3 linked regions of the Oryza sativa Japonica Group genome follow. The protein of the gene in region 3 binds, or shares a complex with, the protein of the main gene of each other region. Links are inferred from orthologs where the notes say so. Each region holds a gene or a part of one and is shown on either strand. Other genes may lie near its edges. The genes, in order: general transcription factor IIH subunit 2, general transcription and DNA repair factor IIH subunit TFB4 and general transcription and DNA repair factor IIH subunit TFB2.

Region 1 (10,355 bases), about 9.3 Mb from region 3:
GGACAATCACCTGTCCTTGCCTTCTCGACGTAAGCTGAAAGGACGGGACGACCGAAGGATGCATATTACTCCCTCGTTTCAAATTATAATGTGCGGTAAGCGCATGTAGCGACATCGAAAGAAATGCAGAAAAAAAAAACCAACACAATTGAACTTGGCACAATCTATAAAACTAGTTTTTGACTTTTAATTTCTTGTATATTATTACTGTAATATTTATAGTAACAAAGTCAACCATAGAAAAGTGCATTCAAATTTTAACCCAATGATATTATTTTTGTCAAATAAAATTTAATTCATGTTAGACTAATTATTGGTCAAATTTCTTTTGAATTGAATCAAGCATCTTATAGTATGGGATAGTGGAAATAAATGAACAAGATGCTGGTGAAACCAAGGGAAAAGGCTTCATCCATCGGTCCATCCTATTAGAACGGACATAAGTTTATTTTCCCTTCCATTATATGTTACACACGCGTAGTATGAGTTATACTTGTGTTGCTTTCAAAATGATTTCGGTGTGATCAGAAAAGGCGATATTGCACCTGCTTGCACTGACCTTCTGTTGAGCGCGAAGACATGTTCAGTCTTATTTTTTAGAAAATAGATGTTCAGTCTAATGCCGTCTGAAACACATAATTTCACAAGAATTTCATAGTTATTTTTCGTTGTAAGAAGAAAAATTCCCAAACCAGGTCGTGCAGCTAACCTTACCTCTCTGCAAGGTTCATGGTTGACTATCCAAACATGTGCTTTAGCAATTAGCATAGCCACCCTTTCCATGCTGAAGATTTCTGCCGTAAAGCAGCAATGAACTTTCCTGCTAGAGAGGGAATCCGGCAAATCCGGGCTTGGTAAACTCACGGCGTAAAGGGCTTTGTCCCGGTAAACCACACCTTTTGGAGCTGATATTTTTCCACCAAACTTTGATGCGAACTTTTCAGCCATTTGATGCAAGGAAATTCACCACTGCCTTTTTCTGGGTTCTGAATGTTTGCTTGGTTCAGAGATACGAGTAATAAAAATGTTTGGTGTCCATAGTACAGAGGCTGCAGCTCAGGAGCAACTAGCATGATGGCAATCATGTCGTTGTCTCTCCAAGCCAAAGCAAGCAAATCCCATCATGGGGTCAGTATCATTGCACGAGCTCGATGCGATGCCCAGCCGGTGCCGGACCACATCGTCAGAAAGTTGCAAGCGGCGAACTCAGTTCGACCTTGTGGTTTGAGTTTGTCGATCCGGATTTAAATTATAAACTTAACACGGTTATTAATATTTATAGCTAGTTAATTCTTTTAGTGGTAGATAATACTATATATATCGACACATGACATCCATATATGTCTATGGTAACTTTGAAATATGATAGAGAGATATGTCTATGATAACTTTTGTTAATCTTAAATTAAATATATACCGATGTAATCTTTAGAGATGTTTATAAAAAGAGTAAATTTTATAAAACTACACGTCTTGTAGTTTAAGTTGTAGAAAACCATAAACATTTTGACACTTGGCACTTAAGTATATATATTTTGGTAGTGTGATATCACAAAACCGCACTATCAATGAATGAATTCACCCGCGAGATGATGTGACTGTTTCAACTAGGACGAGAACATGGCATCTTATTACTAGCCATCCCATGAAATTAATAGGATGCCACGTCATCATCTAGATAAAACAACCACGTCATCTCATGTGTGAATCCATTCATCGATAGTGTGGTTTTGTGAAACTAAACTACCAAAATATATGTACTTAAATGCCAAGTGTCAAAATATGTGTGGTTTTCTGCAACTTGAACCATAAAACATGTAGTTTTGTAAAATTTACTCTTATAAAAATATGATGTGCGTATATGTGTTTATATGAGCGAGGCGTCCGTACTGTTGAAGGAAAGGAAGTTGCAAGTGACTGTGTATAGGCAGCATAGGGCACGAAAAGGGCTTAGCGCCATAGAGTGTGCACACTGTGCAGTGCTCGGAAAAGGCCGTGGTCGATCGGTTGCCGTCGTGCTGTCTCACCTGTGTTTCTTTCAAGTGGACTCGAGTGATCTACAGTTGAAAACGCACAGGACGGTGCAGCAGCCTGCAGTTCGTCGTGCCCACAACTTGGCCGTGCAACTGGTGAAAAGGAGCACTGGCACCGCTGCCTGTCATCCATTCGCTTTAGCAAAGTCGACATGATAGCCACAGGAAGCACACTTTCATCAGAGTGTAGGGAACCAGGGATATGCTGCGTATATGTAATTATGCATGATGATCGCCACTGCTCGTCACCGGAAAGCTGAAAGGGAACAACGAAAAAGCCCAGAGTTAGCATCTGTGTTGACTCCGCCCATCAGAAGCGAATTGCGAGGCAGCAAAAAAACGTAAGCCATCAGCCTCTTGGGTCAGCAACATCGTGCTCTCTCCAGCGTTTTGCCGTTTCGTTCTGCGTCTCCGCCTGCTTTGAAATTGTGCAGTTAATTGCACGAGGCAACTGCTTACCTTGACGATTCTACAGTCAGCAACCAGCAACGGAAAACGCCGGGTGCGTGCGTGCGTCGAGCCGTCGATATCCAGCATATTGGCATATCAGGAGAGGAAGGGGGAAAAAAAAAGAAAGGAACAGCCTCTGCTCGTAAATGGCATGTCAGGGCATGACTATGACACTGAAAGAATACATCTTTGCCTCAGAAAAACGGCAAGAGTTACAAGTTTTCACTTTTCAGTCGCATTGTACATTTCTAACACCTCCCCTCAGCAACAATGCTATGGCTTCAACAACTCTTTGACCAGTACTCTGTATCAAAATAGCTTAACTAGCTACTCCATCTAAATGAACAGGAAGCGTCAACAAAATGGAGGCCGGGCACTATATCATCTGTACACTGTTTGATTACCTCACAACATCGCCTACCAATGTCAGTGTACGAGAAAGCTTACAGCAACGGGTAGCTTCTTGAGTTAAAAAGACAAAGATTAACACCACAATGGCATCCCTATGAAGAACTACGCTGACTCTCGCAACCTGGGCAATTGTGCAAGCTCTCATGGATGTAAATATCGCAATCAAGGCAGAAGTGTTGGTTGCATTTTGGACAGCGAACATGGAGGCTAGATTGACTATCTGCAAGGATATTGGATAAATAATTAATAAACCTGATAATTGCAAAGTACTCCCTCCGTCTCAAAAAATAACGAACCTAGGACTGTATATAACACATTCTAGTACAACGAATATAAACAGAGGTATGTCCAGATTCATAGTACTAGGATATGCCACATCTAGTACTATGTTGGTTTTTTATGGGACAGAGGGAGTATAATCTAGCACAAAAACCAGTGAAAAACATTAAATGTAAGAGAAGTATGAGGATTGGTAATTGAAGAACATGATGCCATGTAATAACAAACAAATGTAAGCTTTGTATTATGTATTTTCTCTTCTTTTTTCTACCAACTGCAACATATGTAGCACAATAAGGATATCTTTCCTTGTATGAAAATGCATTGAAAAGGTAGCATGTACTGTTAGACGTGTTAAAGAACTGCATACCAGGGTTAATAAAGCTTTGCTGGCAGCCGTAACACTTTTGTCCTCCCTTTTGACCTAGTCTATTTGGGTGCACGGAGGACACCTCATCAAATGGTTGTACAGGGAAGAGATGATGATAGGACCTTGCCAGATGTGGAGAGCTAACTAGTGTCAGCCCGCAAGTTCGACATTCTGTTGGAAGCTCACATACATTGACTTTGCATCTAGGACATATGTAACCTTCAGCCCCCGACTTTATTTTCTTGTGACAAGAGCAGATGGAGATAAGATCCTCTGCTCCTCTCTGCGGAAAACCCATCTTAATCAAATTAGCTGCAGCATACTCAGCAATTGCAGGTGGTGGAGGAGCATGTTCCAGAAGCAATTCCTTGAAATGGGACTGCCAAAATAAAACAGGCATTATTTATCTTCACAATAACTGAATAAGGAAAGGTAAACACACAAAGCATATTTTAAGACCTCATCCAGTGCAACTGTGTAGGATCCGCCAGTCTCTTCACACAGATATTTGCAGATAAAAATCTCTGCAGCAAGCCCAATAACCGAACATCGTATTTTGGATTTCTTGCATTTTGCTATTGTCTCCATGATATCTCCAGGATCACAGGTATTCAGGGCCGAGTACAAAAATAATACTTCCTTGTGACCATATGAAGGAACCTGGTCTAAATAACCATGGACAAGCTCTAGAGCATTCTGCAGAGATGGTTCACCAGAACACTCAAGCTTCCCCATCAATGCTTTAATCTGTGATTCAGGACTACCTCCAATCTCTGTAAGTCGATGGGAAATCCCATCTTTCATTGTCACTATCCCCACATGACTCAAGGGATTCTGGTCAAAAAATTCCCTTATGAATACCTCAGCATATTTTGCAACAACAGCCATTCGACTAGGTCGATAATCCATCTCTGAAGCTGCCTACATGATCAAAGATACAACCAGGATAAATGGAGATTACAACCGAATGCAAAGAAGTAAAAGAAGTCGTGGGCAGCATATCAATTTGCAGTAAAAATATCTTCATCACCAGAACAATCATGAGCAGCCTACTTTGTGAGAAGAAAATGTACATATGCTAAAATAAATGGTATAGGCCCTCTCCAAGATTTCTTGGAGCTAGGTATTTCTAGCTCCATAAATCCATGGATCTAGATCTACGATTACGTTAATAACATTTAAATAAATTATTTCGTGCACATTTCAAATGAAATTTAGAATTTTAAACCATTATAATTTAATTTATAAACTTCAAATCTACCATGGATCTAAGATCTGGAGCTGTGCCAAAGAGGATCTTATTTACTACCTATCACCCAAAGGAAGAAAGGGCTTTTTCCACATGAATGCATACACAAAATATACGTAGTGTTCTCAAATCAACAGAAAACACTTTCCAACAATGTCAAATGGTATGGAGCAGTAATGCAGTACGGTGCCCCTTTCCTTTGACATAAAACAAATGACGATCAACCAAAACGCTTTACCGCTTCAGAATCTTGATAATGAAAAACCTCACGCTCCTCCGATTCCTATGAAGTTTTCAGATAGGACAGAACCAAGAGAAAATTGCTATTAGCATGAGCCTAACAGGGATGGGGTATGAAATATGTCTTTTCCTTTTTAGCTTGCTCATAAGAGTCATAGTGCAGTAATTTATAGAAAGAATTTTATTTACCACAGATCTCAGGAGACCCTTTGGCACAAGAATTTTTTTCCTTTACAAAACAAACTATTATAATTGTAGAAGAACCATTTTTAATACAAACCATATACAATTTCATTTTAGTTTGTGAACTTCATTGCGTTCAATGGTTGGCGAAAACCCCCCATTCAATCTCTGGTTATGGCCCTGGTCAATGGCAAACAAAAATGGCTAGATTCCAGTATTGCCCTGATATGCACCGATTATAACACCCACTCTCAGGGACTAAAAGCAGAACACCTAAGCAAGAAGACAAGCTAGCAAATCATACATGAGTGATGAGATCATCAACTCAAACATCAAACCTTGATGTGGAAGTGGAGAGGATTGCGCAGCTAGTCACTGAAATAGCTAGCATATGAAATCAAGCTAAAAGCACTACATAGTGATCACCGATTCAACAATACTGCCTCCAGTCCACATTTCACACGAACCAAATTGAGGCCATGGGCAATACCACCAGATCAGCCTCGGCACGAGGTGTTGCATTTAACAAACACTGAGAGGTTAGCACGATCAGCATTGCCCGCCATCCCCAGTGATCCTAACCCGAGCTCACGGAAAACTCCGCACTCACCAAGTGCTCGACGGAGTGACTGACCCGAGGACAAGCTTAGGAGAAGGCACGGGGGAACGAACCCGGGAGAGATCGATGACGATGTAGAGGTAGCGGATGAGGCCCTTCTGGATGCGGGCGGCGGCGGAGGCGGCAGAGCGGAGGAGAAGGCGGCGGCGGTACTGCGCGTGGACGAGGGTCTTGGTGTCGATCGGGCGGAGGAGGCCCGACTCGTCCTCCTGCAGCGCCTCCCATGACCGGTCGTCCGCGTACGCGCGCTCCCAGGCCTCGAGGACGCGCCCCTCGCCGGACTCCTCCTCCTCCTCGTCGTCGTCGTCCTCGTGGTTGCGCCGCCGGGCCGATGCCGTGTAGGGCGCGTTGAAGCCGCCGCCGCCGCCGCCGACGCCGTACATGGTGGAGGCGGCGGCGAGGCGGAGTGGGAGCAGAGGAGGAAGGAGAGGCGAGGTCGGGGACCGGGGAGATGGGCCAGGTTTTGGGGTTCCTGGGCTTTTGAGTGGGTTTTCCTTAACTTTTCTAGCTTTCCCATGCTTGACGGTTGAGGCCTTACTTGCTTGCACTTGAAAAAAAAACTGAAAACCCATCTAAAATTTTATGAATATTTTTTGGGGGTTATCGTCAAATCTTGCAGATTTAGGGTCAAAAGATGTGCTTCGTGATTAAGATAAAAAAAGATGTGCTTTGTGATTTGTGCTCTATATTCTTCTCCTCTTGCTTTAGCAACCTCCTTTTCTTTGTCGACATTGGCGCCACCCTGAACTAGAATCGACGGATTAGGGTCCATATTAGATTTAGGGTAGGGATTGGGGAAGAGGGAGGAGATCGTCGGTCTTAGAGGCATGATCATGGGAAGTGGTGGACCAAGGGGGGTGGTGGACAATGGATGCTAGTGAGGCGTCAACGGCGATGTCAGCGCCCATTGGGATAAAGGAGCGCGGTAGGGGCAAAGCAAGCTTGTGTTAAGAAGCGGTAGTCGGTGGTGGTGGTTATGAGCAGCCGAAGATGGGGAAAATGTCGGATCATGGGCATCTGCTGGCTTGAGAAGGAATAGAGGGGGGAGGGCTCCGTCAATATTAATGACACTTCCATCCAAGTGATAGCACAAGAGGCGTCAAGGTCGAGCATGTCGTGCATCGGTGAGGAGGGAAGAAGAAAAGGAAGAGGGTTAACGTGGGGGGATTTGAACGAATCTCAAAGTAATCCAACGAGGGGTTTATGTCAAATGTAAGGCTTATTTCCTTTGTCGAGTTAAGTTGACATATGCACACACTAACTTTATGCATCTAAGTCCTAACATACACTCAAATTCGAACAGTAGCCTCGTTTAACATGGGTATAAACTTATCCACCAAATATTATGTGCATTCAGTGCCTCCGGAGATTAAGTCTCCGAGAAAGTGCAAGCACCAGCATACTACCTCATCAGATTAAATCCTAGAAAAAAAATGCAAAAGCACCTATACTAAGACTACAACTTGAACTTCGATGGATATGTTCTACCGCAAGGGGAGCTCAGTTGGCAAATTTGATGAATAATTTTGATAAACTGAAATACAGGTTGTAGTACTTTGCATAATAATAAAATCACTAGACATCTGCACATGTGCATGTTTGAACTTTCAGACACTTCATAAAAATAAATATAGTTTTATGTTGACAGTTGGAATTGCAGCATTGGCAATGTGGCACCTGACCACCTCGATTTTTTTAATAACGAAGTTCATGCGATCTGTAAGTATTTATACTATAAATTCATCTCTATAGTTTATATCATCGACATGGTTGACTGGTCGACATCGCATCTAATGCGCGAATGTATCCATGTCTCATGTGCCACGCTTTTGTTATACAGGTGTCGCTGATAATATCTTCGACAGACTTTGCAGTACTAGGTTCCAATGCTGCAGTTCCACGGTTGTTGTTCTGTGCTTCTGTTGTAATGCCACTGATGACAGCTAAGCTAGGACTAATCCTAATTCCAATCAAAACCTTAAGATGTTCCTAGTTTCCTACAGATCAGCTAACTTCAGAAGGATGAAAGTACAGTCTGATATTTTCCATGCCTCTTGAAATGTGCACTTCATCTTCATGCATGTTCATCAATCTGTTATCTGTGAATAAACTTGATGCATTCTTCATCGCATTGTGATCCTTGACTTATGTTTAGAAGATTTTCATCTCTAGACTTCGGGGTCTTTCTGAAGATCAGGTAAGGCCGAGTTTAGTTCTAAACTTTTTTTTAAACTTTTAACTTTTTTATCACATTAAAACTTTTCTATACACATAAACTTTTAACTTTTCAGTCACATCATTTCAATTTTAACCAAACTTTTAATTTTGACGTGAACTAAACACACCCTGACTTCAGTAGGATGAAAGTAGTCTGATATTTTCCCTGCCTCTTGAAATGTGCACTTCATCTTCATGCATGTTCCTCTGTTATCTGTGAATAAACTTGATGCATTTTCCATCACAAGTATCATTTAGGCCTTGTTTAGATCTAAAAAATTTTAGCCAAAAACATCATATCAAATGTTTGGACACATGCATAGGACATTAAATGTGGAAAAAAAATCAATTGTACAGTTTGTATGTAAATTGCGAGACGAATCTTTTAAGCCTAATTACGCCATGATTTGACAATGTGATGCTATAACAAACATTTGCTAATGACAGATTAATTAGACTTAATAAATTCGTCTCGCAGTTTACATACGGAATTTGTAATTTGTTTTGTTATTAGTCTACGTTTAATACTTTAAATGTGCGTTCATATACTTTAAAAACTTTACACTCAAATAAAAACACATCCTTAGCTTATGTTTGGAAGAGTTTCTAGACTTTGGGGTCTTTCTGAAGATCTCTTCTGGCAATCGTTGAGAAGCACAGCAACCTCTGTGCAATAATAGGCCTGGAACTATGCGGTGATGTTCTTTTCTCCTTTTCTCTTAAAGATAAAGATGAAAATTAATTTTTTTACGCAAAAACGAGATGATATTAACGTATGTTGATTGAGTTTTAATTATTACAAACTTTAAAAATAGATTAATATGATATTTTATAGCAACTTTCATACAGAAAGTTTTCGCACGAAGCGCATCGTTTAGCAGTTTGAAAAATATGCCACGAAAATCTTAATCTTCATCCTGTTGTGTATGTCAATCAGCTGTACTAGTCATCTCCTTTCAGAAATTTTCAGAGCAGCGTTTGGCTCTTGTGTGTGGTAGTCTTGGGCTATTGGCTCTCTTCAGAAACTTGCAGAGCAACTTCAATTCGTACAAGCAGACTGTATCAATGAGCATAAATGGTTGGCAGTACTCTTCCAGCCTTTGTCCTCAGCTGCTTATCCATGCTCATTTTCCACACATAAACCTATCCCTCCTCCTCTTGCAAGTTCCCTTCCTTCGGCAACCGTTTCTGCAAATCTGCCAACCACAGGTCAGACCTTGGCTCTGCATCAGCCTCCAGGTCCAGGAATTCAATGTCCTCAAAGATGTGTTCATCACCAGTGTTGGAGCGTCCCTATTGCAGACAGTACAACTGATGCCCCGTGTGTTTTTTTCCGAGGACTTTCCCCCTGTCACATCGAACGTTTGAACACATGTACGTATTATTAAATATAGGCTAAAAAATAACTAATTACATAGATTATGACTAATTCGCGAGACGAATCTTTTAAGCTTAATTGCTCCATGATTTGACAATGTAGTGCTACAATAAACATTTACTAATGATATATTAATTAGGCTTAATAAATTCGTCTCGTGGTTTACTGACGGATTATATAATTAGCTTTTTTATTAGTGTCCGAACACTCCATGCGACACCCTATATAATACCCGATGTGACACGCTAAAACCACCCCTGATCTAAACACCCCCTAAAACTTATAATAGGAGTATTTTCTAAAAACATTCTAGTAGGAGAGTATGAGTATTTCATCTTCTAATGAATTGACGTGTAAAACTTTCTGATTATGGCTTACACTTAAAAATATGACTTAAATATTTCTTTTTACTTCTTATTAGCTCTCACTGAAAAACAAACACCTACACAATAATAGTAAGATATGATTGTATAAAGATAAATCGATGACTGACAACTGATGATATATAAATATGTTATATTAGTTATTTAAAGTTGTTTGTTTAAGCTTATGATATGTGCAAAACCACCATCCAAAACTATTTTAAGGGCAAGTGGATAGTATGACAAAGTTCAAACTTTAGAGGGTTGGATGTCCGATTTCAAAGCTCAGGGTGTTAGACGATCTTCCATCTAAAGTTTAGGAAGTATTTGGATTCTTTCCCTTCATCTTATATCAACACTAGGGGTGGCGCGCGCCGTTGCCGCGCTGCCGGCAACAAGACAGGTAAAAAAACAGAGGTTACATGAAAGTTAGATATGTATAGAAAACAAGCATGCGAGAAATAAATTAAACAAAGGCAGGTAGTCATACATACATAAAATAAAAAAGAACACATTTTATTACAAATAAACCCTACGACCTCAGCAATAAATACTATATTTTGT
Region 2 (10,533 bases), on a different chromosome or scaffold from region 3:
AAAAAACGAAAGCTAGGTGGACATGGGAAGCGCTGGAGTGCTAGGTTGGATAGGGAAGAGAGATCTGTCGTGTGTGCACAACTAGAGTTTGAACTGAACTGAAATCCAATTGATTTATGTTCTGAAACTGATCTTTTTTTTTTCTCAGCTGATTTGCATTTCTGTACGTAGCTTGTGTTTTTTTAATTTATGAATCGGTACAAACAAGATGTCTGCCAATGATGTGTAAACTTATGGCACTTGTCATTGTGCTGCAGTGAATGGAACAAAATGGGATTCCTTACTATCTAATGAGGCCGACTGACATAACTCCTTGGAAATGTTGCAATCATCTGATGCCATATTTGTTTGTTTGCAGAGGCCAGGAGAAGGAAATGGCTTGAAGATTGTCCAGAGGCAACTAGCCCTGACGAGGCCGTTGTCTTCGATACTTCAATCATACCGTGGTGGGCATGGATGAAGCGTTTCCATCTCCCTGAAGCCGAGAAGCTAAATGGTCATTCTTGAATCCTTCTCCTTTTCAAAAGCTGAATTCAAAAGTTTTTACTTGCATCAAGCCACATGTGCAAACAAACCACGTGCATGGGAAAGAAGAATTCATCACTTCTAACATCACACTCTTATGTCTCTGCAGGCCGTGCTGCCATGATTGGCTTCTTCATGGCATACTTTGTTGATAGCTTGACCGGCGTGGGGCTTGTCGACCAGATGGGCAACTTCTTCTGCAAAACCCTACTGTTTGTTGCTGTGGCTGGTGTGCTGCTGGTCAGGAAAAACGAGGACATAGAGACAGTGAAGAAGCTCATCGATGAGACGACGTTCTACGACAAGCAATGGCAGGCAACCTGGCAAGATGAGTCCCCTTCTCAGCCCAAGAAATAGCTCTGAAGTGGAATCTGAATCTGAATCCTCCCTATGTTGTATTGTATCACTTCTTTTTGCAGCCCTTTTCTCAACCCATTTATTAGTGAGGCTCAGTACATTTTGATGATCTTAATACCTATGACGTCTTGTAAAAAGTACGAACTCGTTTCTGTGCTAGAGGTTAACGTTGCTGCGGGTTACTTGGTTGAATGTTTTCTTTGTGAGAATTGCTTGTACTAGTTACTCCCTCCGCTTCATATTATAAAATGCTTTGACTCTTTTCTAAATCAAAATTCTTTTGGTTTGACTACGTTTGAAAAAAAAACGTAGCAACATTTTTAACATCGCATCGCGCCAGAACAAATCTGCACAGTTCCATCGGCAGTGCACACAGCCGTTATAGGAAACTAAAAATCAAAATTGTTCTTGGAGCTCGAAGTAATATATCAAGACATTAGCGCAACCTGTGTCACCATGACAAGAAAAATGATTTGCCATCTACTAGCTTGACCTGTTGTCCTGTTTTCGGTAAGCAAAAAAGAGCATTTGCAAATGGTGCATCACAAGTTCATGTGCCAACTTTACAAATTGCAGGCAAACTAATTCCAAAAGTCGGGCGTGAGTTCCCTCATCAGTTGACAAAATTGCTACGCCCAGTTGCCTAGTTTTTGCTAAACTGACGCTGCTTCAAGTATGCACACAATGCCCATTCTGTATCAGTTGAACCTGTCAAAATCAGGGACAGGCTGATCCAGCATCATGTATCGTATCTAAGAAATAAATGTGCATGTCATTGAGGCTAAAATGCTAGGATAGATGTTCCTGGAAAATGAACCACATTTCAGAATGGAACAAAGCACGGGCATGAACCTACGCACATAAGAACACAAGGTAGGTAAAATTTGAAACTAGACTAGATATGGCGTGCACTGTATGTGCATGTCATCATCATTAACGCATAATGCATGTCTGGGGGTCAGCTAATGCAGATGAAGTAGTCTATATTTTACAAATGAGATCTTTTAACTATAGAAGATAGTGGCACCGAAGTTTCTTAAGAGACACATCAGACGAACCTGTGGAGAACATAAAGAGAAGTCTGCAGTCTGATATTTCGCCATCTGTAGTGTAGACTACTGCCTTTGATCAGGTACAGAATTTAAGTCGGGCATGACACGGTTGAATTCTGACCTGTGAACGGAGCACATCAAATTAAACAAGCAAACAATCTGATTCTTACTGAAACAAATTAAAGCTCTCAGGAAAAAGACAAAAGAATAGAAACACAAAGCAACTATAACATACCCACAGGTCGAACACTTCTTATGATACTTGCAGAATATCGATAAACAAACTGAACAAACATATCCCATGTCAATAGTCTTCTTATGGCAGAAACATCTGAAAAGAAATATAGCAAATTAGATGCAGTTGAAAGGCCACCAGTATCAGACAAACTGAATGGAAACTTAAAAACAAAAATAAACTGAGCTGCTAATCCTGACCTAAGGCCTTTGGTAAGATAGAACTTCACAAAAAAAATTAGCTGTATGTTTCTCACATTTTTCTGAAATTGTCATTGGTATTATGCTATGTTTTCAGATCTATAACAAGCATCTCATAGCTATGTCACAAGGCATTCAAGAAGATGAAGAAACAGAGATATGCCTAATGCCTAGAGAACTTAATAGAGGAAACTGAGTGACACATACGAAGCACGGAAATCCACTCCCAGAGTCTTGGGGAGGCGCAGAAAGGTTCTTGAGTGTAAATCAGTTGCAAATACAGCCTGCATATTTGCAGAAATGAGTCATTGAGCTCAAGCAAATTAATCAAGTTATCTGAAATAGAAATATTCCTACTCAGATAGAATAAAGACAAACACAAAACAGAGCAACTTTGGAACTAATATATATATTCCAAAAACAGGTCAACGTAAGCTGATATTGAAGCAATAGATTTGGGTCAGAAGTAAACAGCACAGTCTATCACGCCATAATCTGATGATTCCATTGTTGTTCATTAGTGTATTGTACATATATATGTGAATCTGATTCTAGATTAACAGGTAGATATACTACCAGTACCAGGAAGATGGAGTATCTATGTGCCCCACTCTAGTGACAGAAAATATTGAGTTTTGACATAGGAGATGAACTCATGAACATAGACACTGAGAGGGCATTCAACTTTGTAGTCTACTAGTAGCATCCAAAATCATTTGGCACTAAAGTTTAGAGATGTAGTTGTGTTGATCTTCCCAGATTGACAGTTTGAGACATACAGGAAATATTATGCTTGAGTGCACACTTTAAACAAGCCACACTCACTAGAGATGCATGAGTTCCCAAACATTACTAGTACATTCTACATTCAAGCAAAGGCAGGAAAACAGAAGAGCCTAGACAACCTTAGATGAAAGTTGATATTATTTTTTTTCACAAAATGAAAATGGGCTGATCTGGCATTTTTCTTTTAAAGAGTTACATCAGATTCATGTGCTGGAGGTTAGTTGCCTTCTTAATTTTTCATTATTACACAGAAAAGATGGCCACAGGCTTTATATAAATGCATCATGCAGTTATAAAGATGTAACCATGGTTGCATGAGAAAATATGTGTGTTGCTACAGAAGTGCCAGAATGACTTACAGCAAGGTATTGAAATAGACCATTTAGTTCTTGGGGTTTCAAATAAACTCCACCTGTTATATATGAAGCCTGCAAATGAAAGGCCAGTATATGATCAGCATTCAGCAAGGAATAGACAGCTCTATGGGGGCATACATGTAAAAGAAGTTATAAATGGAAAGAAAGACCAAGAAGGCACTGAAGAACATTACCTGTTGCAAGAAAGCAGAGTCTTGGGTTCCTACTATGCATGAATCGATTGGGACCTAAATTTTTTTGATAGAAAAAAAAAATAAGGACCAAAGTTGTTAGTGAATGTTTTAAGCAATGAAACTGGTGATGTATATAGTCATATAGACATGTCTAGAGGTAGTGCTACTTGCAGTTGGGACTCACTAAAACCACTACAGTTGTGAAATGGTGAGGTGACATCAAGAGTATCAATAAAATGAATTGAACAATGAACCCAAATGTACGGAATAGTGACAGTTCATGCAATACCATGGAACGTTGAGCAGAAAATATTGAGTTCATGACCGCTACATATCTGCGCAGCATCTCATTGAGTTAAAACATGTTCCAGAAAATATATACTACACAATCAAATCGATGAATGTGCGTACTGTTCAGGTCCATCTGGAGAACCCTGCAGGCATAAAATCTGTATTTCGTGTTAGCATAATACATGATGCCACTAGAATAAGTTGTGAGGATATTGAGTAGAAAAATTCAAGAAAACAAAGAAAATTAAATAATTATATCATTAGTGATGGGTCAGATGCCTATCAGGTTTTTTTAGTCCATACAGCATGCGCATTGTAAACATTTATGCTAACTGATATGCTCCCTTCTATGTTGTTCTCATAGGTCAACATATCAACAGGAATCAGAACAAAAGGTAACTTAGAACACACACAGAGTGTATACTCACCCGAGGTTGTGGATGTCGAGTACCAGACCGAAAAACCCTCTGTATATCTAAGCATCCTCCATGTTAAGAAATACAAGCACAAATGGAAAATGCACTAACAATAAGAAATCAGTACCAGTCATAGGATACAGCACAGAGCAAGGGACAGTGCGCCTGAGAGAAGAGAGGCTGCATTGCCATCAGCAACGGAACCATTGCTGCTAGTGGCACGGGCGTCTTCTGCAATGAACTCATCCATCTTGCGGCTCGCCTTTGCGAAGGTGGCCGCGACGTCTGCAGCACCAGAGGCACTAGCATCGCTCGAGTCGAAGATGTAGGTGCAAGAGCTAAGCCCCGCGGCGATGACGACCACATGGTTGAGGTGGTTCAGAAGCAAGAGCGAGTTCACGTAGTGGATCAGCTACATACACCCCGGAATTGCATCAGTATTAAGTGTAAATCCTCTCCTCTCTGGAGAATTCAGAGTCAAAATCAAACTAACTAGATCAGCGAGCAACTAGAGATTGATCCTCTCTGGAGGAGTCAGAATAAAATCAAACTAGCTAGATCAGCGTGAATGCAACTAGATACTGATCGTGTTTCCGTGGTTAATCCCCATGATATAGATGTGAATCAAAAACTAGAAATCGAGAGGGGAAGCGGGGGACGAGAAGGGAAATAGGGTTTGGGAGGTCGCGGCGTACATGGGCGAAGAAGTCGGCGAAGGGGAGGGCGGCGGTGGCCCAGAACAAGGGGTTGGTGTCGACGACGACGACGGCGAGGCTGACGTCATCTGCGCAGGCGCGGTGGAGACGAGGCAAGAGAAAAGGGGGGAAGATTAGCGAGACGCAAAGGGATCAGAAAACGGAGACGGTCGGGCGCCGCTTACCGGAGTAGAGCTTGGAGGAGGCCATGGCAGTCTCACCGCCGTCGCGGCAGGGCCGGACACGCGCGAACGGAGGCGCTGGTTGGGCCGAGGCGGCGGCGGCGCGAGCGGTTGCCTTGCCGCCGTCGGGAGGCGGAGGCGGAGGCGGCGAACTCGGCGGAGTTGCGGCTGCGCTTGGGGGCGGCAAGAGACGACGAATTTTTTTTATTTATAATTTTTTTATTAAAAGTTTTACAAAAATAATTTTCCATTTTGAAAATTGACGGAAGTAGTCGCCTACCGCCCTCTCAGAGGGCGGCGAAAATGACGTGGCAGACGGCCGTTCGCTCTCGGGCGACGGCCGTCAACGAAATTTGCAGGCGGCCCCCTTGCCGCCCTCCGCTAGGGCGATTTTATACTGTGCGGGGGGCCGCCTGCAAATGGGCGGCGAGGGGGGGCATGGAATTTTGCAGGCGGCCCCCTTGCCGCCCTCCGCTAGGGCGATTTTGTACTGTGGGGGGGGGGCGCCTGCAAATGGGCGGCGAGGGGGCATGGAATTTTGCAGGCGGCCCCCTTGCCGCCCTGGGGGAGGGCGATTTTTGCCTCCCCCTATAAAGCCCAGTCCCTCCTCTGTGAAATTTCATTATATTCACTAAAAATCCAAAAAAAACGAAAGAGAGAGAGGGGAGGGCAGCAGAAGGGGAGCGGCGAAGCCCTGCTGGTTCGCTCAATTCATCACAGGTATGCTCCCATACATCTTTTGCATTTGTACTAATATGTTATGTTTGAGTATATATGTTGCGTTTTAGTTTTAGTTCCATATATTTTAGCACATCTGTAGCACATAGCACATATGTGTAGATCCAGAGCATAGAATATAATAGTATGAATTGAGACATAGACAGTAGTGTTAATTGTAAGATGTAGTTTAGTTTGATCTGGAGAATGTAACGTAATTTTAGAAATTTAGAGAACAATATTGTAGAGAATGTAACTTAGGGCGTAGTACAGAAATGCGAGGTTAACGCAGTTATTGTTTTCATCAGGCACAATGTCAAGTAAGGTCACATTTCAGATAGTTCATGGTAAAGGAAATATTAGATTTGGTCCAGATGGTGTTGATCTGTCAGATTTTGTAATGACATCTAAGGGCATCGATAGGCCTGCGGAGAGAACATTTCAGTCAATTTATAGTTGGTTGTTGAGAGGATTTAGAATAGACCAAGAAGTCTACACAATGTCAGTGTCAGTTGTAGTGAGTCGTGCAACAGAAGGTTATTTTTGGGAACTAATGCCGATGGACAGCACTGATGCTTGGAGACGGTATGTGGAAATGGCTTTTGAACGGTCATGGCCCCTCGTTATATTTGTGTCGGTACAAGAGAAAGATATAAATGTTTCAATGCAAACCGAAGATGTAGAGGGTCCTATCAATGCAGGGGATGTTGTTGGACCATCGATGCAAAATGAGGAAAATCAACCAAGGGAGGAGCAGGCTATGGGCATGGCGGATGAGGGGGAGAGAGTCGGTATAATTGTTGATGAAATGGAGAGGGAAGATTCGGATAATGAGGAAGCGGACGACGACGCATCATCCGATGAGGAAGGTGATGTAATGGCCACTGATTGGGCAAATGAGGACTTCTCTGGACTTGTTATATCAGAGGGTGATCATGTACCCTGGGAGTATAAGGAGAACGAGGTAATTGACGGTGCAAGGTATGCTCATAAGGATGAGATGAAGGAGGCGGTGAAGCATTGGGCAGTTTCCTTGCAGAGAGAGTTTAGGGTGGTCAAGTCAACAAATTATGTGTATGAAGTGAGGTGCATGAAGGAAGATTGTCCGTGGCGTGTCCATGCATATAAGGGTAAATGGAATGATTATTGGAAAGTTAGCATTGTGACCGAGCACAAGTGCTACTTACAAGGGGTGGAGAAGTATCACCGAAACATCACTTCAGCTTTTGTGGCAAGTGAGATGTACAGCAGTGTTGTTGGTAACATTGGCTTTGAACCAAAATCAATTATTAGGCACATCGAGAACAAATTCAAGTACACCATAAGCTATGCAAAGGCCTGGAGAGCCAAACAAAAGATCATTGAGATGAGGTATGGCACATTTGAAGCTTCTTATGATAATTTGCCTCGTTTGTTAGCCACCATTGCCCAGAGGAATAATAATACGTACTATGACCTACATACATTTACATCGGTTGATGATCGAACAAAGAGTATGCTGCAAAGAGCCTTTTTCTCATTGGGTGCTTGCATCAATGCTTTTGTGCATTGTCGACCTGTTCTATGCATAGATGGAACTTTTATGACAGGTAAATACCGAGGTCAGATATTGACAGCAATTGGGTGTGATGGGAACAACCAGGTTCTACCTATGGCTTTTGCATTTGTAGAGAGTGAGAACACTGAAAGCTGGTACTGGTTCCTAGAGAGAGTGCACATTGCAGTGGTGCGTATGAGGCCCAACGTTTGCCTTATACATGATCGTCATGAGGGTATGTTGCGGGCTATTGACTACTTGCAGAACGGTTGGGATGAGAAGGGACTTCCAGCTAAGTGGCCTGATGTTCAGAGTCGGTGGTGCATGCGTCACATGGGTGCAAATTTCTACAAGCAATTCAAGAACAAGCATCTTATGGAGCTCTTTAAGAGGCTCTGTGCACAGAACCAAGAGAAGAAATTTAATGAGTTGTGGGACAAGTTGGATGAGTTGACAACGAAGCAAACAGATGAGCAATCTCGCAGACCACTAGTTGAAGGTGACGAGCCTCCCATACCTCTTGGTGCATTACATGATGACCCACCAACAATGAGAAGGAGGTCAAGGTCGTCCATCAGAAATTTCACTCAGTGGATTGAGAATGAGCCTAAGGAGAAGTGGTCTCTATTGTTCGACACCGATGGATCTCGGTATGGCATAATGACAACCAATTTGGCAGAGGTGTACAACTGGGTAATGCGAGGAGTTCGGGTACTTCCATTGGTTGCTATTGTTGAATTCATCCTTCACGGCACGCAAGCGTACTTTAGGGATCGATACAAGAAAATTGGTCCGTCCATGGCCGATAACAACATAGTGTTTGGCAACGTAGTGACAAAGTACATGGAAGATAAAATCAAAAAGGCACGGAGACATCGAGTTGTTGCTCAAGGCACACAAGTGCATCGGTATGAAATAATGTGTGTTGATAGGAGCAGGCGTGGTATCTATCGCAAGCAAGCCGTGCAGGAATGTGTCTTGAAGGCGGATGGTGGATGTACCTGCAGTTGTATGAAGCCGAAGCTTCATCACCTTCCTTGCTCACACGTTCTTGCTGCTGCCGGTGATTGTGGCATATCTCCCAATGTGTACGTCTCAAATTATTTCAGGAAAGAAGCAATCTTTCATACATGGAGTGAGGAGATATATGGGTTCGGGATCTCAGGATCTTACACAACGCTGAGTGCCCAAGTTTTTTATATTCCAGATCCATCTAAGTTAAGGGTGAAAAAGGGTCGACGCCAAACTAGACGCATCAGAAATGATATGGATGAGTCAGAAGCAGGTGGGAGGACTTTACGCTGCAGCAAGTGTGATCTGCGCGGCCATACTTACAAGAAATGCCCGAAGAATGCAGAAGTTCCAAGCGGCGCAGATGCTAGTCCATCTGGACAGGCAAGTGATGGTAGGCGACCACCTGGTGAAGGAACAACAAGCAGGCGCGCAAGGCCAAGGCGTCGTCGCGCAGCAGGCGATTCCATGGTGTAACAATGCTTTCGATTTAGGAAATAAAATGCTGTTGTGATGTAATGAGTGTTCGGACTAAATACTTCTATCGTGTAATTTCAATTCAATGTTGTTGTAATGAGTACCTCCGACTATTGTTGTACTAGTAGTATTGCGAACTATTCGGTGTTGTATTATAATGTTATCGTGATGAGTGTTCGGACTAAACACTTTTGTTTGTTTGTACTCTTGTTTAATATGTGTTAGTAATTCGCTTATGAACATTTATTACTTATGTTGAACTAATTATTTATATGTTTCTGATCAACCTATTTGATGCAGGTATGGCGTACGACACACCGGCGCTGTTGAACCGTGGGATTGACAGGAACCACCGCTCGTTCCTGTCAGCAGTCGAGGGTGCACAGCTCGGCACCTTCCGTCCACGCACGTCGCGCGAGTGGTTGCGTGTCGACCCCCGTCACGTTCCTTGGTATGCGTATGTTCACATTTCAACTCAACTTTGCTTTGTGTTGTACTTATGTTTGAAGTTTGCTCTATACAGGTTGCGTGCGGCAGGCCTTCTACCACTTTGTAGGCTTGTTGAGGCGGCGGCGGACGACCGTGACCCAGCGAAGCGGTGGGATGCAGACCGGTCACTCCTTGCCGCTCTTGTAGACCGCTGGAGACCTGAGACGCACACGTTCCACCTTCCCTGTGGGGAGATGGCTCCGACACTGCAGGACGTGTCGTACCTGCTCGGGCTACCGCTGGCGGGAGCACCAGTTGGTCCCGTGGACGGTGTTTTTGGGTGGAAGGAGGATATCACTGCGCGCTTCGAGCAGGTGATGCGCCTTCCACACCTAGGACCGGCCAACACCCTTCCTCCGTACTCTACAGTCGGGCCTAGCAAGGCTTGGTTGCTCCAGTTCACTGTAAGTAAATAAGTTGTTATTATCATACATGCTTATTTGCGACCGGATGAGTGTTTTGTACTAACATTTCATTCTTAATTGTAGGCGGACCTTCTGCACCCTGACGCTGATGATTACTCGGTCCGACGCTCCCTTGAGGCGTACCTGTTGTGGTTGTTCGGGTGGGTGATGTTCACTAGCACCCACGGGCACGCTGTGGACTTCCGGCTGGTCCACTACGCACGGTCCATCGCGGATGCTCAGCCACAGGACGTGCCGCAGTGGAGCTAGGGTTCTGCCGTGCTAGCAGCCACGTACCGTGCCCTCTGTGAGGCGTGCACGAAGACTGACGCGGGAGCGATCATCGCTGGCTGCCCTATGTTGCTTCAGCTTTGGGCAGCCGAGAGGTTTGCCATAGGTCGACCAGTGGTGGACAGCGCACCCTACGGGGTTGGTCGCAGCGCGCAGTGGCCAGAGGACGGTCCCACGATGGGGACTTACTGGTGTCGACGTGGGGTTAGTGCAACTTCGCTGCATTATAAGTTTATCAGTCGTCTTCTTTTTTTTTCTTCACATAACATGTCTAATTCCGATCATGTTTATTGCAGCGTCGTTACGCTCACGTCCAGG
Region 3 (10,435 bases):
CGGCGGTCTCGGTCTCGGTCGCCTCGCCTCCGGTGGTGGCAGCAGCACGTAGGTCGGTAGTTGCCGGCGCCGGCTCCACCTCCTCCTCCTCGTCCCAAGGACCACCAGCAGCAGCAGGAGCGACGACGGGGTCGGCCGCGGCGGCGGCGGCGGCGGCGATGTCGGGGTTGGCGACGTCGATGGGGTCGCCGTCGCAACGACCCGTCACAGTAGCGACGACGAAGGGGTCGCGAGGCGTGGCGCGCATGACCGTCATGTTGTTGATGGACTGCAGCATTCCGCGCGTGAAGGAGCGGCGGTCGGAGTTGCTGCCGCGGCCGCGCGCCTGAGGAGCCGACGACTTCTTGTTCTTCTTGTTCTTGTTCTTCTTCTTCTTCCCCATGCCCGGCGGCCGGCTTTTGCTCTGCTCGTCTACTCTCGTCGGAGGAGTGGGTGGGGTGGGGTGAGAGGCGTGAGACTCCTTATGTAACCCGCGTTTATATACTCGAGCTGGTTACTTGCGTGGTTTAGCCGTCTCCTCTCTCTCTCTGACACCTCTTGTAACAAGAAATGATTCCTCCTAGTTATCTCTCTCTAGCTCTCTCTCTCTCTCTCTCTCTCTCTCTGACACCTTGTAACAAGAAATGATTCCTCCTAGTTAATGATAACCCGTCTCCTCTCTCACACGGATTGACACAGGTGAAAACCTGACACCTGACACACACCCTCCCCCTCCTCTCTGATCGCTCGTCTCTCCCTCTAATCGCTCCTCTCTTGCACGGAGTAATCATCTAGAATAAGTAAAGAAAAATATCTAGAATAAAATGTGATCTATCCTAAAACAACTAATTTGGACTGGACGGATGGAGCACTCCGTAATAATAAACAGGGTAACAGCAGTTAACTCAAAAGTTCAGCGAGTTCCAACTCCTTAACATGATGCAGCCAGTGGATATATTCATGTGTGACAATGGGCCAAATTGGTGCACAACAGTCATTGATAAAGTTCTTACTGTGCAGGAATATAGGAGTACATAGATTGAATAAATTATGCAAACTATAGTTGATTTATCTTAGCCTCCGGAGGAACTCACGCATTTCTGAATGGAACTCCACTCGTACAATTAATCTCATCTTCTTCGCATCCTCCCACAGCAAGCACCCATGATCTCTTGCATAATCACAGCATTGATCAAACATATCCTGCACAAGCAACAGTAGAATAAATATGTTAGCGTTTACACTAATATGAAAAGCACACACCAACATGGTATAAGCAACTCAATATTGTCCCAGTACTATTTCCAAGTTAAATATGCTGGGCTTTACCTTGCTTGGAAAATCTTCATATAAATGCGATAGGGTCATATCAACCCTGTTACGATCCGTTTCCCACAACCTAATCTGCATGGAGGAATTACCAATTCAATTACTTTGGCAAATACGGTTGGCCATGGATGAAAACATTGCCTTGTTCAGTTGTACCTGATCTGTAACGTTCTCTGGGACTGCAGGTATCTTGTCAGCAACACGAGGATGAGCATTCTGCTGAAGGAATGAAATTATCTGAAAAACAACACAAAACAAGAATGACTCTGAGTATCTATATAATGGATCATGCAGAAATTCATACTCCAAGTGATACCTGTTCAGCGGTAATCCCATTCTCAAAAGCACCATAAAGACTTTCTTTTGTAATAGATCCCACAATTAGGTTTGGAAGTTGATACTCCACTCTGCAAAAATATCCTTATTGAACATTCAATGAAGAATGGAGGATGACAGTAATATAAGGTAAAATCTACAGTCGCCACTATTACTGTCATTTTAATAAAACCTTAAGCAAGTGTCCTGTAAAATTAATAAGCAATATTACTTACAACACAGTTATTAATACAGTCATCTTCACTGTATTGTGTTTCCTACTACCTTGATTTAGTACTGGATTCCAGTGAAACAGTTGGCATTCCTGAGTCAATTCAGTCAAGATGAAGGCATCTACTCAACCAAGATAAACGGTATCAGTCACTGAAACAGCAGTGACCAATCACCATTCTACTAGAGCATAGCCAAAAATCAAGATTATGGCATATACTCGCATGACAATTGGCAGAGTTACGCTGGTTAACTAAAGAAAATGTGATGAAGGGTATAGAGCCCTTAGCTCCCTGCCGTCGCTCTTTTGCATGCCAAACATATGGCAAAATGTTAATAATAAATAGAGGAAAGTCGTTCAAGGATGCAACAGAAGCTATGGATCAGTAATTCAGTAGTTAAAAAACCAGTACATAGTTGAGCTAAGTTATGCCAATCATCTAGCACCACACGTACCTTGAAAAAAGGCGCAGAATTTCACAATGTAATCTGGAAGTTGAGTACGCATACATCCGGAAATTTGTCTCCACAACTACAAAACCCTACAGCACCAACATCATACAATGTAATTATTAACAGAAAGTATTTTCATCTTCATTTGTTGTTGCTTAGGTGACGAGTAGATTGAGGTTATGAAAGATTTGGACGTCATGAATAACTGTAATAGCAAGGATATAAAATGTTCTGAAACCTCTTTGTTAGACGATGAATCTGACAAGCTTGCTGAGAGATTTGTAGCCAGTTTTGTAGGTATGAACCAGCTGTCCTTTCGACCCTGCCATGGCTTAACTCTTGACATTTGTATTCATCAAGTTGACTAGGGAAAAGACTAAATCAAAGTTTTACCTGCTGAAGTTTGACCAGTCCCAACTCCGCCAGATCCCTAATAGCATTTCTTTGGACATCGGTCAGAGTATTCAAGCTATAAGCCTGAAGCATGAATAAGTTAAACAGCATGTTGAAGCGAATTTGCAACAGATGAACCAGGCCACAAAGCTTGGACTCCACAACAGATGAAAGATAATGCTTAGTTAATAACATTAATCTACAGACTGATAACCTCTTTTTAAGCACTAAATCTCTGGTACTGTCTGAACTAGTAAGCATTATTAAGCAGGCATGTTAGATTGATGTCCCTATTCTGTTAGATAGATCAGAAACCAATAGAAAATCTTTGAGATGCTCCGTTTCATATACCACTACAATTTACCCAATCCTCTCATAAACTATAATCTGCGTAAAATGTGGCCGTGTTTATTTCTTATATCAATATAACCTACTATTATTGAGGGAAATTATATTTTAATTTCTGTAAAAGAAAAACTGGAGCTGGTCACTTTTTAAAACGATTTTTGAAAAAAAAAGAAGCATCACCACAGTCTTTTAAAAGTGGTTAACTTACCTCTCCTAATGTATGAAAACTAAGTTCCAATAGAAATGATATCAACTCCGTGGGGTCCACACCACGTTCCTATTCAACAGTAATAAAACAATCAGCACAAAGGAAATACAACAAATAAATCAACAATGTAACATCAAAAGCTCTAGAAAGAGCAAGCAACCGATACCTCTGCTGATGAGATGTATTCTCTCATGATGTACCAAAGTTGAGCATTTGTCTCCATCAGCTGGTTAAATAGAAAAGAGTGAGAAACAAATATAGAAGTCTGCAGTCTGTTAGATAATTGGATCAACTGATAGCCAATGACACACCAGAAACTGGAACCCGTTCTCAGTTAATCTTGGAGCTTCACCATCTCTGCAGAATATATCAGATCAGGAACTCTATCGTTCAGTTGTTGTTTGAATATGCAATGAGGAAAGCATATACAATAAAGCTAGAGAATATATAGCAGGGCAAAAAAACTCTAGTAGCTTTTAAAATTCCAGAAATGTGGTGCAAATCTGAACTATCCAAATAAAAAAAGCAACCTGCTAAAAGATGGATTATTAGGATTACTAAGAGACCAATCAGCCCCATTTCACTTACAGGTAAACTGAACACAGATAAACCAAACCAATTAACCAATGACCATCTGCTGTCAGCCCACACCATCTTGGGTATAGTAGTTGCTAGTTCTTCTTAGTGTATATCTATGTAGCTACAGCCATTGGATTTATCATCTAATTGTACTAACAAAAGAAAGAGCTACAGCAATCTGCATATTCTTTGTTGTTGTTACAAAATTTGATTGTCCGTATTTTATGCATAACTCACTGCCAAAAGCAAGGGAGGAAATAAGATGGACCTTGAACTCAGAAGACCTCGCTGAAAAGTTCTCATCATGGATGAGCTGAAACTTGTCCCTCTCTCGACTTGAGATGAGTTGATCAATTGCAGCAAGAAGCACTATTTTCCCATAGAGAAAAGAATGAGTTCCTTTACTAGGGGAGTGAACATTGGTAGCATTCAAACAGTACGATCTGATGAGCAAAAAAAGATAGAAAGTGTTTCCCTAAAATAAAATATACATGCAAACATAAGCTTTTGTCATCCTGACCTCCCACTGCTCAAGAGCAAAAGACTCTAATTCTGCCAATGTAGGCAACCTTGCAGTGACACTCGATGGTATAGGTTCCCTTGGTAAACTTCCACTGCAGAAAAATAAAACTGTAATGTCGTCAACTAGTTTGATATGCTACAACACGCAGAACAAAATACATGGCAATAAAGCTTTAATTATTAGCTCAGGCTGCCCACACAGGAAAAATAACTGAATAACATGAAACATGTAACATACAGTAATTTATTTTTATACAAATTAGTCAATTTGATTTTACTGTTCTTCAGTGCAATCATCGGTAAATTTGTGAACTATTTCCACCCTATTGCTACCACATTGTGGCTTTTTCATTTTCTACATGTAATGTGTGCAGGAGAAATTTTTCTATACATGCAACGTATGCCGGAGTATATAGTAAGGATTACTCTACAATATTAAGAGTTGTACATAATATATATAAGGAAATAAAGCACATGCTTACACTATCATAAAGTTTCGACGGGGAAAAGGCAATTAGCTCAAAATATGAGAAAAGTATGTGGCTTTCAGTAAAAGTAGCTCAGTAGTTACTAAAACTTACCCATCAACCAAATACTTTTGCATGTTGCCCTGGAACTTCTGGTTCATCTTGTAGCTCACCTCCTTTCTTCTGTAGAAAAACATAGTCTACTATGTAGTAAAATTAAAGTAATTCATAAACTGAGTAAGCTATAAGATTCATATTAGCTATGCCTCTGCACATGCAAGAAACAGAACATGTGACAAAGTACACATGAAATTGATGTTCCAGCAGTATAATTAGCTAAAAATAATCGACTACCCCAACTAGAGCTGAATAAAACTTGTTCACGTCCAAGGGTATAATCATCATGATGGTTTCTTCTCATGCCAACATTGATTCATAATTCTTAATGCTGTTGCATATTTCACCTTAAGAGTTTGCACTTTGCAGACCAAATGTGGCATGCCAAATATATTGCTGTTTCCTTTTTACAATAAATAAAAGCATTACTAGTTGCATAGCATCCTTAGGGCCAAACAGTTACACCAAAATTTCAGTAAGTTGACATATATGATAACATATCAGGCCCCCCGGCATGCCAAAGACAGCGCTGGCAAACCACTAAGGCAAAATTAGCACCAGAAATCTGACATTCTGGATTGAAATTATACAGTTGGTTCATCGACTTCTGATCTATAGAGGAAGTTGCAAGTCTGCGGCGCACTTGAAGCACCCAGCGCTGGTGGAGATGGATGAGGCCTTACCGATCGCGCACCTCGACAAATACCCTCAGTTGGAGCAGCCTATCGATGGCGACCCTGTGCTTGGCGGCGTACTCGTCGAGCACCCACTCCTCCATGGCCGCAGCGGCCACCGGCGCCGACACGTACAGCATCTGCAGCGCGTACTTCTTCGCGAGCGGCGGGAGCGACCTGCACAACGAAGTGGCGAAAACACTCGCGATGAAATACAGCACGGAAACGCATCGCCGCAGCCAAGGGCAAGGCCGGCGCGGAGTGGGCACCTGAGCACGGCCTCGCAGATGAAGGCGGAGTCGTAGAGCATGTCGAGCTTGGCGGCCGGCAGCGCGGCCACCATGTCCATGAAGTTCCGCGCGACCACCATTACCTGCGGCATCTTCGCCGGGGGGTGGGGGGTTAGCTCCCAGCGCCGATCCGGTGCGCCGCCGTGCCACACACGTAGAGGGAGCAAGAGCGAGGAGGGGATAGGATGGGAATATCCGGCGACGAGGAGAGAGCGTCGGCGGGAGCCCTACCGGGGAGATAGCGGAGGAGGCTTCGACGAGAGGAGAGGGGGGAACAGGGGAAGAGGTTTCTCTAGAGCTGAGCTGTGTACCGGAGGAGGAGGAGGAGAGCTCGCCGGCGGCGACGGCGACCGGAGGAGGGAGGGAGGCGGCGAGGCGGCGATGTGTGTCGAGCCGAGCAGCGTGGGTGTGAGTTGGGCTTGGATAGAATCCGGATCCTGGCCCATTTAAATTTGCAGTGGAATTGGGCCGTCGGCTCTTTTATGTGGGATAAGTTCACTTCGTGACCCTCAACTGTGATCGAAATCTAATCCACGACCATAAACCACAAAACCGGATATTTCGACCCCAAAACTCTTAAAACCGGAGCAATTTGACTCCCTCGGCGGTTTTGCTAACGTGGCGCCTACGTAGCAGCATTGACTCGGTCTTCTTTCCATGTGGCGTTGATGTGGCGCTTAAGTGGCACTAGAAATAAAAAAAAAAGTGTGGGGCCCATTTGTCATTCAAAAAATATATAGTGTGGGACCCACTGCCATGTGGGGCCCACATGCCATCCTCTCTCTTCTTCTTCCTCCGCTCTTCCTCCCTTCTCTCTTTCTTTCCCTTTCTCTTCTCTCCCCTTCGGCCGGCCGCGGGGAGCACGGGCTGGAGCGGCGGCGAGCGGCGGCGGCGGCGGCGGCGGTGGAAGCTGACGCGGCGGCGGCAAGATTGGAAGTTCGGGACTCGCTGCTCTGTGGGCTGTATGCCTCGCTGCTCTGCCTCCTCCACCGCGGCGCTCCCGGCGCCGGCGGGTCCAGATCCTTCGAGACGGTGGACTCGCTCAACATCTTCAGGGCCAAGGACTACGACGCCACCATCGAGTTATACTGGGCGCCCATGCTCGCCGAGTCCAACTCTGACGGTGCCGCTGTCCTCGACGACCGCCTCATCCGCAGTGCCCCCATGAACAAGCACTCCACCTTCTGGAAGGGCGCCGACGTCCTCGTCTTCAACTCCCACCGCTAGTGGATGACCGACGACAAGATCCAGATCCTATAAGCTGCTAGCTAGCAAACACATAGTCATACATGGCGTGAACGATTGATGGATTCGTTTGTGAGATTGTTTGTGTGTGATTTGTCTGGATCGATGGATTCATCTGGCGGCGGCGACTGCTACAACCAGACGTTGCCGGTGGGCGCGGCCAACGCGGCGTCGTACCGCGGGAGCACGAGCCGAGGGATGCTGCAGGTCCCCGGCGCTGCCGCTTTAGCTTCTTGGGGAAGAAGGGGAGAGAAAGAGAGAGAAGGGAGAGAGGGAGGAGGAAGAAGGAAGAGGACTAACATGTGGGCCCCACATGTCAGTTGGCCCACATTTCTTTTTCTGTGAATGATTAATGGGTTCCACACATATTTTTAATTCTAATGCCACCTAAGTGTCACGTGGAACGAAGACTCGGTCAATATCGTCACGTAGGCGCCACGTCAGCAAAACCGCCCTCCAAAACCGCCGAGGGAGTTAAATTGCACCAGTTTTAGGAGTTTGGGGGTCGAAATATCCGGTTTTGTGGTTTAGGGTTATGGATTAGATTTCGATCACAGTTGAGGGTCACGAAGTGAACTTATTCCCTTTTATGTTAGATTGGGCTACAGGCCTCTTGAATGAAAGGATTGGGCTACCCAACCCTAGCCCATTTTGGCCCATTGGCAAGTTTGTGTTTCAAAGTTGTCCATGCATGGATAATTATTTATATTTTTTTTCTTGTTTTTTTTCGTTTAGACGAAAGACTCATGCATAACTACACAGCACGCTCACGCTCCCATGAATGTGCTTTTATTTTAAAACTACCCATGAACGTGCTTAACATACTCCTAACTACAATTTCCTATCCTAACTAAAATCTGATGAAAAGAACCCCCGAACGTGTATAATATTTGCTCGTTTTTTTCAATTTCAGTACCGTACTCGTACTTTCCAGGATCAATCCGTCAATTAGCCGTCCAATTTTTTTTCCATGTGAAAGAAATAAAATGTACTAGAAAAATGAAATCATTTCACAGGTATACTGGCACCAACATGACAATTTACAAGTCTAGAGTCTGGACATCACCAATGTTGACGTACACGTACGTGTCAAATCGCTTTCCGTGTTAAAATCTTCCTCGCCACACAAAACCAAAGGTGCGCGTTACATGACTTTCGCCGAGCACTCGTCTGCTGCGACGTCAAACTCCAAATTTATACATCAATACATGTGGTTTTGAATTTTTGCTAAAAGGAAATTCATGTGTGGTTTAAGTAGACAAGTAGTAGTTGGAATTTTGAAATGGTGTTCCTGTACTACTTCCTACTACCAAGTACTACGAACCAATGAAAAAAAAATCCGGCGGACAAGTTGAAGCTGGAAATGGTCAGATCAAAAGTCAATACGAAAATGAAACTGATACTTGCCGACTGTCACGCAATTAATACCGATACCAAGCACTACCCCTGTTTAAAGAATTAATAGTAAGATTATACTAAGAAACTAGGGTTGGCAGCCAGATTTTAGCATATAGGAGTAGTTCGATCTTTGGGTTTTACAAATACATCTTTCTCAAATCCTAGACTGTCATCAGAAGCTTGTTGTTGACGAATATCGTCTACCACCGAAAAAATAATTAGCCACAAATACAAGTAATAATGTCAAGTTTAGAATTTAAACTCAGGTGAGCTAGTTCTATCACAGGATAATCATTTTAGTTACGCCTATTTTGCTTTGTAATTTTTTTTAGACATGCTACCACAAGGAGTAATATAGAATTTGTTTTTTTTTTCTTTTTTCTACTTTGGAAAGGATGGTTTTTACACGAAATTTTACATGAACTGACTATTTCCTAATAAAATCAAATAAAAAAACCTACGATCCAATAGTCACAAAACTCCAAACCTAATTCATTTTCCATGTGACTGGGGAGATCAGTCGGTTGATGAACGATAATGTTTTTCTTTTTCTCAACACAATTTCATAAATCATCGTAGCGTTACACACAAGCTAGCGCGTAATGAACATTATTAACCCAGGTGCAAAATCACAAATCACATTCACCCAGGTGCATATGCTAACTACAGGTGCCAGGATTAAAACCTACTCCGTACTCATTGTCCGCATGGCCGTGACTCCACACCACACAAGTACTACTTCCCTAATTTACGCGCTAACTTTTCTTAATCAAACACTCTACACACGACTTATTTGATTACCACGTAACAGTAGCTAGTAATTTCTCCCCCAACTTGTTCTCCGGTCTCCACATCTCATAGGATTTATAGCACATCATTACGTATATCATCATAACAAAACATATCACTCCCCATCAAACATTATGACGTAGTACTATGTAATAATTAGCTCCCTTCATTTTTAATAATTAAGATATGCCTTTTAAATTGTTAAATAGTACATTTCTATGTGAAAACTTTCTATATAAGAATTTCCTCTAAAATATATCAAATAAATATAATTTGAAGTATGTAATTATTGAAACGCAATTGATCATACGCTAATGCTTTCTCATTATGGGTGTACTTACTTAGTCCTCTTGTTCGTCTTGCGAAGAGCCGAGAGATTTGTCATTTTGCTATGTCTAGGTGTTTCATATTATAAGTTGTTTATTTTTTTTCTCTAGCCAAACTTCTTTAAATTTAATTAAGTTTATAAATGAATATAGTAGCATTTTTTAACATAAAACAGACATCCAATGCTGGATTTTATTAAACTAATTTGTTATTTTTGATATTACTAAATTTTTCTATAAATTTAGTTAATCATCTTAACCAAGTTTGACTAAGAAAAAAAACTACAAGTACACTTCTTTTCAAGGTACAGCAGCGTCACGGCAAACCCGTATTTCCACAAGTATATACGGTAGTACAAAATACAATAGAGTAGAAGCAACAATCATTTAATCTTTCACGGAAAAACAATAATAAGTAATATATAAAATAAAAACAAAATAAATGAAGCAGGCAGCAATTAACTCATGTCACATCCGTGCCGAAACAATCCAACCCAAAATTCCCACATCCATTTCTCCAGCGACCCATCCATCCATCGCCTCCTCTTTCCCTCCCACCTCCACACGTCCCCTCCTCTTCCCCAATATTCCACGCCACCGCCGCCGTCAACCTCCGCCATCAGCAGCAGCAGCAGCGGTCTCCCATTCCCATTCTTTGCTCCCACGCGAGGCTGCGCGGAGAACAGCTGCACAGGTGGGGTGGGGGTGCAGACCGAGCTGAGGAGTAGCCGGAGTTGGTGGTGAGAGACGCGGGTGGGGCGCGGCCATGGCG

The links.
Region 1: general transcription and DNA repair factor IIH subunit TFB2 (region 3) and general transcription factor IIH subunit 2 share a complex: the UniProt entries of both Arabidopsis thaliana proteins name them as parts of the 7-subunit TFIIH core complex. The link is inferred for Oryza sativa Japonica Group from reciprocal best matches to the Arabidopsis thaliana genes AT4G17020 and GTF2H2.
Region 2: general transcription and DNA repair factor IIH subunit TFB2 (region 3) and general transcription and DNA repair factor IIH subunit TFB4 share a complex: the UniProt entries of both Arabidopsis thaliana proteins name them as parts of the 7-subunit TFIIH core complex. The link is inferred for Oryza sativa Japonica Group from reciprocal best matches to the Arabidopsis thaliana genes AT4G17020 and AT1G18340.

What each region holds. Positions count from the first base shown.
Region 1 is NC_089038.1:25,933,385-25,943,739, forward strand, and holds general transcription factor IIH subunit 2, read right to left. Parts: upstream 6,309-10,355; 5' UTR 6,218-6,308; coding exon 5,888-6,217; intron 4,465-5,887; coding exon 4,003-4,464; intron 3,923-4,002; coding exon 3,544-3,922; intron 3,115-3,543; coding exon 2,987-3,114; 3' UTR 2,621-2,986; downstream 1-2,620. UniProt on the Arabidopsis thaliana protein: Component of the general transcription and DNA repair factor IIH (TFIIH) core complex, which is involved in general and transcription-coupled nucleotide excision repair (NER) of damaged DNA and, when complexed to CAK, in RNA transcription by RNA polymerase II.
Region 2 is NC_089036.1:1,352,899-1,363,431, forward strand, and holds general transcription and DNA repair factor IIH subunit TFB4, read right to left. Parts: upstream 5,472-10,533; 5' UTR 5,318-5,471; coding exon 5,293-5,317; intron 5,197-5,292; coding exon 5,108-5,196; intron 4,825-5,107; coding exon 4,554-4,824; intron 4,472-4,553; coding exon 4,425-4,471; intron 4,155-4,424; coding exon 4,117-4,154; intron 4,041-4,116; coding exon 3,995-4,040; intron 3,760-3,994; coding exon 3,706-3,759; intron 3,584-3,705; coding exon 3,515-3,583; intron 2,654-3,514; coding exon 2,577-2,653; intron 2,266-2,576; coding exon 2,170-2,265; intron 2,056-2,169; coding exon 1,998-2,055; 3' UTR 1,941-1,997; intron 1,687-1,940; exon of another isoform or gene 1,591-1,686; 3' UTR 1,262-1,590; downstream 1-1,261. Other genes in the region: light-harvesting complex-like protein 3 isotype 2, chloroplastic, read left to right, coding at 359-496, 635-882; protein MAIN-LIKE 1-like, read left to right, coding at 9,334-9,482, 9,555-9,924, 10,009-10,194. UniProt on the Arabidopsis thaliana protein: Component of the general transcription and DNA repair factor IIH (TFIIH) core complex, which is involved in general and transcription-coupled nucleotide excision repair (NER) of damaged DNA and, when complexed to CAK, in RNA transcription by RNA polymerase II.
Region 3 is NC_089038.1:35,240,940-35,251,374, reverse strand, and holds general transcription and DNA repair factor IIH subunit TFB2, read right to left. Parts: upstream 6,327-10,435; 5' UTR 5,998-6,326; coding exon 5,885-5,997; intron 5,793-5,884; coding exon 5,625-5,792; intron 5,025-5,624; exon of another isoform or gene 5,022-5,024; coding exon of another isoform or gene 5,008-5,021; coding exon 4,939-5,007; intron 4,450-4,938; coding exon 4,356-4,449; intron 4,205-4,355; coding exon 4,104-4,204; intron 3,614-4,103; coding exon 3,568-3,613; intron 3,483-3,567; coding exon 3,423-3,482; intron 3,326-3,422; coding exon 3,257-3,325; intron 2,785-3,256; coding exon 2,701-2,784; intron 2,630-2,700; coding exon 2,546-2,629; intron 2,397-2,545; coding exon 2,311-2,396; intron 1,716-2,310; coding exon 1,625-1,715; intron 1,546-1,624; coding exon 1,465-1,545; intron 1,384-1,464; coding exon 1,309-1,383; intron 1,183-1,308; coding exon 1,048-1,182; 3' UTR 880-1,047; downstream 1-879. Other genes in the region: tetraspanin-19, read left to right, coding at 10,430-10,435. UniProt on the Arabidopsis thaliana protein: Component of the general transcription and DNA repair factor IIH (TFIIH) core complex, which is involved in general and transcription-coupled nucleotide excision repair (NER) of damaged DNA and, when complexed to CAK, in RNA transcription by RNA polymerase II.